Sus scrofa: one gene and its partner. The protein of the gene in region 1 purifies or fractionates together with the protein of each later gene. This does not show direct contact. Links are inferred from orthologs where the notes say so. Each region holds a gene or a part of one and is shown in the gene's direction. Other genes may lie near its edges.

Region 1 (3,545 bases):
ATCCATTCCCCCTGCTCAGGTCGCCATGGATCGGATGAAGAAGATCAAACGGCAGCTGTCAATGACACTCCGAGGGGGCCGAAGTGTAGACAAGACCAATGGTGCCCCAGAACAGATAGGCCTTGATGAGAGTGGCGGTGGTGGTGGCAGTGACCTTGGAGAGGCCCCCACACGTACCGCTCCTGGGGAACCTCGCTCTGGACGGGGCCCACTCAGCTCTGCACCAGGTAGGTCCACTGACTGTCCCTGTTCCCAGACTGGTCCCCAGCTGTGCTGCCTTCTAGCCAAGTTCCTCTTAGACCTGCGTTACTTTCATTTTCCTTTCACCGTTTTCTCCCCCATCCTCTCAGCACCCTTTCTCTATTGTCCATCCGTGCCCCTTTCCTTGGCCTTGTGCCCAGGCCTAAGGGGGAGGAAGGAAGGGTGCCCTGCCTGCCACAGCTGCCCCATGCCTCCCTCTGCCCTTCTCCTGAGCTCTGTGACAGTCCCCTCAGGCCTCCTGGCGCCTGCCTGCCTTGGGCCTGCCTTCCTGGGGCCTTTGGCTGCCTCTGCTGCTGCCTGCCCACTGGCCGTGGGCCAGCCGCAGTCTCAGCTCGCCGCTGAAACGGGGTGCTCCACTAGGTGACTATTGCCCACCCCACCCACCCCCATTCAACCAGTCTTGACCTGCGTGAACCTCCCTGGGCCTTCCCACCCTCTCCCTGAGGGACGCCAGGCTGCTCTGGGGGCCGTGCGCACACATGTGTGATGAGGGAAGGTGTTACATGGCAGGGGTGGGGGGGTGGTCCTGGGGCTCCTGACCCCACTTGGCCTGCCCTCCACCTGTCCCCACGACCAGAGATTGTACACGAGGACTTGAAGATGGGGTCTGACGGGGAAAGTGACCAGGCTTCAGCCACGTCCTCGGATGAGGTGCAGTCACCAGTGAGGGTGCGCATGCGCAACCATCCCCCACGCAAGATCTCCACCGAGGTGCTTAACCCCCTGTCCGGGCAGTAGTGGGGCTGGAAAAGAGGGTTAGGCCTGGGGAGTTGGAGCTCATGGTCCTCTTTCTCCCCTATCTTTCCTGCTAGGACATCAACAAGCGCCTGTCACTACCAGCCGACATCCGGCTGCCCGAGGGCTACCTTGAGAAGCTGACCCTCAATAGCCCCATCTTCGACAAGCCGCTCAGCCGCCGCCTCCGGCGTGTCAGCCTGGTGAGCATCTGTCTCCTTTTCGTGTCTCCTCCTCCTCCTCCTCCTCTTCTCCCCAGTCCCTTCCCCCGAGCCTACTTCAACCTGCCTCCTTTACCCCAGTCTGAGATCGGCTTTGGGAAACTGGAGACTTACATCAAGCTGGACAAGCTGGGAGAGGTGAGAGACAGCCAGCAGGCCTCTGGTAGGGCGGGGAGGTGAGGGGGTCAGTGAGAAGTCCCGCAGCCTCACAGCTCCTCTCCTGTCACTCTTCCTCACGTCCCAGGGCACCTATGCCACTGTCTACAAAGGCAAAAGCAAGCTCACAGACAACCTCGTGGCACTCAAGGAGATCAGACTGGAACACGAAGAGGGGGCACCTTGCACCGCCATCCGGGAAGGTACAGGCCTCAGGCCATCTGCTCCAGGCTTCCCGGGCTCTCCCCACGGCGTGATGGGGACTGGGGGTTCTGGCCGGGACTTCCCTCCTGAAACTCTGGGCTTCATGAGAAAGTGCCCGTCACCCCAACCCCCCATATCCAAATAATAAATTAGGGAAACCAGGAATCTTGCCATGTGGAAAAGAGGCAGATGCATTGGAAAGCAGGGTGCTTGCTTCAGTTCTGAGAATATCCCTGAAAGTACTCACCAGTTTACTTGACACAGTCGTTTCTAGTTAGAATATCACATGGAATGAATCAGAATTGCATAGAAACTGAGTATGCAAATTCACGTTCACATAAGCTGCAGGCTTGTGTACTAAGGGTTGGAGCAAGGCCCCTTTCCAGAAACCAAAAATGGGTTGTGAAAATCCAGTATCACATAAGCCTGGGGCTGCCATCCCAGGTTCTTGCTCTGCGCTCTTGTCTGAGCCTTAGTGTCCACCTCTGGAACTTGGGGACACACCTTCTTCCTGGTATCAGGTTGGTTGGAGCCGGTGGCTGTGAACCACCGCCCCAAACCGCATGGGGAAAGCAGGAAACCCCGGGCTCTTCCTCGCCTCTGTCCTGAGGGTGGGTCCTGACTCTTCTCCCATTCTGCCTCCATGCTCCCTGCAGTGTCCCTGCTCAAGGACCTCAAACATGCCAATATCGTCACGCTACATGATATTATCCACACGGAGAAGTCCCTCACCCTTGTCTTTGAGTACCTGGTAAGGTTGAGTGGCAGTGTGGCCCAGACGGAGGTGGGGAGGTGGCCCAGAGCCACAGGCTGTGACCCTCTTTCCTCTACCTGCTCTGCTCTCCTCAGGACAAGGACCTGAAGCAGTACCTGGATGACTGTGGGAACGTCATCAACATGCACAACGTGAAAGTGGGTGTGGGGCAGGAAGCAGGGGCACAAGGGGGCCCCCCACTCACCCATTCCACCCCACAAATCTCCCAGAAACAGACTTCCCGTTTGGCCTTTTTGCTGGGAGCCCTTGGAGGGCATTGGGACCCTGTCCTCTTTTGTGAGACAAGGCTCCGGGCACAGTGCCTGTGTTTGGGAGGGGGAGCAGTGCCTGCTGGGGCTCAGGCCGCTGGATACTCTTTGACCTCTGCCTGCCGTTCCTGGGTCCCCAGCTGTTCCTGTTCCAGCTGCTCCGTGGCCTGGCCTACTGCCACCGGCAGAAGGTGCTACACCGAGACCTCAAGCCCCAGAACCTGCTCATAAACGAGAGAGGAGAGCTCAAGCTGGCCGACTTCGGTACCCCTGGCCTCCCCTTTCTGCCCAGTGACCCCAGCCTCCCTCTCCCCCACAGCCACCTTGTCTCGATCCCCTCCAGCCTCTCCAGGCTTTGCTTAGGATGCCCTCAGCCCCAACTGCATTCTCCCCGACACCGGCCAGCACCTCTTCCATTCCAGCTGCCTTTTCTCTCCATCTGCCAGGCCTGGCCCGGGCCAAGTCAATTCCAACGAAGACCTACTCCAATGAGGTGGTAACCCTGTGGTACCGTCCCCCCGACATCCTGCTCGGATCCACGGACTATTCCACTCAGATTGACATGTGGTGAGGACAGGTGGAAGTGTGCCAGGGGCCATGCAGTGAAGGGGAGGTGGCTTGGTTACAGCGGCCAGCCAGCCAACTGCTTCCCTGTTCACTGTGCCTTCCCTGCCCAGGGGTGTGGGCTGTATCTTCTATGAGATGGCCACGGGCCGGCCCCTCTTCCCGGGCTCCACGGTGGAGGAACAGCTGCACTTCATCTTCCGCATCTTAGGTGAGGGGTGGGGGATGAGCCCTAGGAGCTGTGGGGACATCCAGGGAGGCCCCGGGAGATGCTTAGGGTTAACTCTGCTTCCCCGCCAGGAACCCCAACTGAGGAGACGTGGCCGGGCATCCTGTCCAACGAAGAGTTCAAGACATACAACTATCCCAAGTACCGAGCCG
Region 2 (4,338 bases), on another chromosome or scaffold:
TCTCTCTTCCTCTGTATCTAGTCATCAAGCACTTCTGTCTCCCAAATGGCCTCATATCCTTTCCTTCCACTCCAGTCTGCCACTGCTTTCAGTCTGAACCCTTTCTTTTCTTTTAGATGAATATAAAGTCTCTCAATTGGTCCTGTTGTGTCCTTCAATCCTCCTTATTGTCCAGAGTGACCTAACTACAAACCACCTGATAGGGACATCTTACCTTCACAACATTCAATGATTCTCATGTTTCTGGGAAACAATTCAAACTCTTTACCCCAGCATCTACTTTGGGGTTAGGCAGATCTAGGTTTGAATTTCAGGTTCAAGTATTCTGCAGCAGTGTGGCCTCAGACAATTGGACTTTCAAAGCCTTTGTTTTTCTCAGGTGTCTAAGCTCACTGAGGGCAGGGTTATTTCCCCAAACACAATGCCGGGCACATAGGGAGCGCTAATTAATGCTGAATGAAGGGAAAGCATTTTAAAATCCACATCAAAAAGCTGTCCCTCCTTAAAAATAAAATAAAATCCTGATATGCTGTGCCACTTCCAACCAAATTTGATTTCTGTCTTTATTTCCTGATAATCACAATCCCAGGGCTGGGCACCAGGGATGAAGGCTGGTTCTGCCTGGCGTCCCCACCCCTTTAGGGATCCACACTATCAGGGATCAAATCCTGGCCATACCCCTGAGCAATTAGGTGACCTTGGGAGCGTTATTTAATTTATGGAAAATCTGTGTTCCTGATGGTTTTGTTCTCAAGGGTTAATGAGCACCACACTTGGAAAGGGTCGGGCGCGTATTAAGTGTTCGCCAAATGTTAGCTATCGTTAACCTCCTTCATCAATTCAAGACCGTGGTACTCCACTTTGTGACTCTCAATTTTGTATGAGAAAAACGTGCTTTATGCGTTGGCGAGAAAGAGTTGCTGAATCCCCGCGTTTCAGAAGTGGAAGGAACGAGTTCGGTGCCTATTTTACCGATGAGGAAGTGTAGGGGTGACGTGTCCTCGAGTCTTATTCAAGACACTGCCACAGCTTTTTACTGAAGGTAAGACCAGGGCCCCGGGGGTTGCTGTGGTCAAACTGAAGGCAGAACAGAGGAGCATTTAGTTACAAAAACGGTCAACAATTCGGGTGTAACTAAGTTCGTTGAGCAGTACATCAAATGAGCCAGCCGTCAGACCTAGCGAAACCAAGTTGCTAACGAACTGGCTCTTTACTTAAGGGGCTATTTTATAGAGCCCGCTCAGCCAGGACAGCTTCAGTTAACAAACTCCCGCAACGCTTCCGCAGGACCGGAAAGCTCCGAGCCGTGAGAGATGAATGGAAACCAGAGTTCAGGGCGCGCCTCGCGGGGGGCGGAGCGCCGATGGGCAGGGGCGGGGCATTATGAGTCACGTGCCTACGCTTGAGGCGGGCGCGTGGAGGGAACTCTAGATGTGATTGGTCCGTCGTAACCAGGTGACCAAAGGACGCGTTCCGGTTGGCAGGGGCCAGCCAGGCGAGGCTTTCAGTCGGGAGGCGGCGGCGGAAGGAGGAGGAGCTCCGGCTGCGCTCTCTCCCGGCAGTGGCTGCGCGTCTCAGCGTTTGTCGGGTCCCCACCCCTTTTAAATAAGCCGGTCTGGTCACCGCCCTCACAGACTAGTTGGCTCCGGGGAGGCGGCAGCGGCGCGGCGGCGGGGGTGCGGCCGGGGCCGGAGCCCTGCCCCGGGCCCGGCGGCGGGGCGGACGGGCGAGTGGGGCCGAGGCCGCGTCTGCATGCGCGGCGCAGCCCCGGCATAGCCCGGGGCTGCCCGTGCCGGCCTCGCCATTGTTGGGGGAGGGGGCGGTTGCTGAGAACGGCGGAGTCGCAGGGCGAGCCGAGGAGGTGGCGGCCAGAAGCGGAGGCGCCCCATGGGGAACACGTTGTCCTGTTGCTTGTCGCCCAATGCCAGCCCCAAGCTGGGCAGGCGCAAGGGGCCGGTGGAGCCAGACTACGAGTCTGAAGTCTGTGAGGCGGCGGCTGGGGACGCGGTGGCAGTAGCTTCCGCGCCGGCTGCCGTGGAACCAGCTGAGTTGGATTACGGAGCCGGCGAGGGCCACCACCTGCAGCACATCAGCGACCGGGAGATGCCCGAAGGTAAGGCGGTGGTAGGCGCACCTCGCCCCTCGCGGGGCCGGCTGCATCTGTTCTCGGGCTTACCTCTGGCCTCCGCCGCCCCCAGGGTTCCCCCGGGAGGGAGCCGCCGCCTAGGGCTCCTTCCTGCCCGGAGCTGGCTTTCCCAGGGCTGGGCACCGGGGATGAAGGCTGGTTCTGCTTGGCGTCCCCACCCCTTATTCTTTTCCCGTCGCGTCCAGCCAGTCTTTTTTCCTCTAATCTACCCGAAAGCCCAGTTCTTTCCCCCATTCCCATTTCCCACCCCAGTCTGAGACCCTCCGGTCTGCGACCCTTCCTGTTTGCGGCTCTTTATTAACGCCTGGTGGGACTTTATAAAGACTTTCTGGTATAGTCTCTGTATTCTCAGTGAAAACTTAAATAACCCAACTATGGCGTATCCATCCCACCTCCTTATCCTTACCTATCCAGATGGTACCTAAGTGAAGGAACCAGGTAAGGTAGTTAAGGCAGTTGATACAATTTAGACGCATTCCAGAATTTGTTATTTAAGTTCAAAATAGAGATCGACAGAGTCTATATGGCGTTCTTCGGTAAAATTATTTGAATTTTAACGTTTTCAGTCGCCCTGATAGAAGCTGCTTTCTTCCTTCTAACTGTAATTTGAGCACGAAAATAAAGAAAATGATTGGGGGCGGGGGGCTTCAAATAAGTGCGAACGTTTGAAATGTTACTGCCACGGCTGCAGAGAATAGTTTTTTTACCCAAATTCGAACCCACGGGGTTCTGATTACTTTCAAATTCCCACTTGGACACAACTGTCTTCAGCCCCGCAGCCTTAACCGACTTCATTTACACGTTGCCAGTTTTAAAGAAGAGGTGAGGTGATTCACCAGACTGTTAAACGTTTCAAAACAGAAGAAAGCAAATTCAGATTTTAATTTGTAATATGAAGATTTGGGAGTTAAGATGTCAGATTCTGCAGAAAAGTGTCTCCATGACTCCCTTTCTTCTCCCCCCCCCCACCCCCCCCCCTCCTGCCGGTAGAATTCCTATTCAACTGGAAGAATGTTCAGGTAAAAGTTCTTAGGACTAAATGACTATGGGGGGAGGGACTCTGGGGGTGGGGTGGGCGGTTGCCAGGGAGGAGAGAAGGGAGAGATTTCTGCCTAGAATTTTGGAAAGGGATGGCTCTAGGTTAAAAAGAAATTCTGAGTAACACTGTGGCTCTTTAATAAAGACTGTTCTTTGAAGTAGAAAACATTGTATCATAAAGATGTTGAAGCTCTAGTAGCCCACTTATTGCCAGAGGCTATTTCATAGAGGAAACGTCTTAATAGCTCTTCTATTTAAATTTTAGTTGGGCTTACTTAATTTCTTTAACAGAGTAGTTAAGCCTGTGGATTCACCCATGTAATGGACATGGCTCTGTAAGTGGAAAGTACTCCCTTTTCAGAATGTTCAGATATTGTAAAAGAATGAACAAATCATATGAATTAAATGTAACTTTTAAACACAAAGAATGTAAGTACTTGTGAAACTTCTACTCTGCTTGTTGCTATAAGGTAAGCCTCTGAGTGATGTTACAAATCAGTTAGTGGTTGATTACTGTAAAATGAGAGACCGAAATTAGAGCTGTATATAGTTCTTTTAGGACTCATAACATATTTTCATGTATATTTCACTTGACCCTTCCACACAAATAGGGCCTGTGTATATTCTCCCTGTATTCCTGGTGAAGAAACCAAGACTTCTCTAAAATCATTATGTGACACAGCTACTGAGCAGGGGAAACAGATGTGGAGGTGGTAGATAGCCAAATTCAGTTCTTGGAGTGCTTAAAAAACTAGAGTGTACCTGTTTTATAATTTAGCCATAAGAAAGGCCCATCTCGACTTTAGTTTTAATTCCACTTGCATTTATTGTACACAACTCACAAGCCACATTTACCTCTCCATTCTGTGTCTCAATGTTCATTACAATGGGTAAGAATAAAAGTCATAAATAGCCAAATTTTACCAGTCAGGTAAATGGGTTGATATATTTTAAAGAGTTTTTGTCTGGTGACCTTGAATTGAAGCAGAGAATGCCCTGGACAGGGAGGGTATTAGGAGAAGCTCGGAAAAGGACAGGTAAGGTACTAAGCATTTAGCATAGGACTGTGTATAATAAGGAGTATTAAATCAGGAAAGTTGGAAAAATAGAGTTCATGGGTAAGAATTTACCTTTTTGGAGTTCCCATCATGGCT

What was found. The genes of interacting proteins can lie anywhere in the genome.
Region 2: the proteins of CDK16 (region 1) and CCNYL1 purify together in Homo sapiens (affinity purification with mass spectrometry; 4 studies listed by BioGRID and IntAct, counting the BioPlex papers as one, with this or other methods). This does not show direct contact. The link is inferred for Sus scrofa from reciprocal best matches to the Homo sapiens genes CDK16 and CCNYL1.

What each region holds. Positions count from the first base shown.
Region 1 is NC_010461.5:41,841,818-41,845,362, forward strand, and holds part of CDK16 (cyclin-dependent kinase 16), read left to right. Parts: coding exon of another isoform or gene 1-19; coding exon 20-227; intron 228-838; coding exon 839-972; intron 973-1,073; coding exon 1,074-1,199; intron 1,200-1,298; coding exon 1,299-1,355; intron 1,356-1,461; coding exon 1,462-1,576; intron 1,577-2,233; coding exon 2,234-2,328; intron 2,329-2,426; coding exon 2,427-2,489; intron 2,490-2,740; coding exon 2,741-2,864; intron 2,865-3,046; coding exon 3,047-3,167; intron 3,168-3,277; coding exon 3,278-3,375; intron 3,376-3,464; coding exon 3,465-3,545. UniProt on the Homo sapiens protein: Protein kinase that plays a role in vesicle-mediated transport processes and exocytosis. Regulates GH1 release by brain neurons. Phosphorylates NSF, and thereby regulates NSF oligomerization. Required for normal spermatogenesis.
Region 2 is NC_010457.5:110,872,446-110,876,783, forward strand, and holds the start of CCNYL1 (cyclin-Y-like protein 1), read left to right. Parts: upstream 1-1,497; 5' UTR 1,498-1,887; coding exon 1,888-2,113; intron 2,114-4,338. UniProt on the Homo sapiens protein: Key regulator of Wnt signaling implicated in various biological processes including male fertility, embryonic neurogenesis and cortex development. Activates the cyclin-dependent kinase CDK16, and promotes sperm maturation.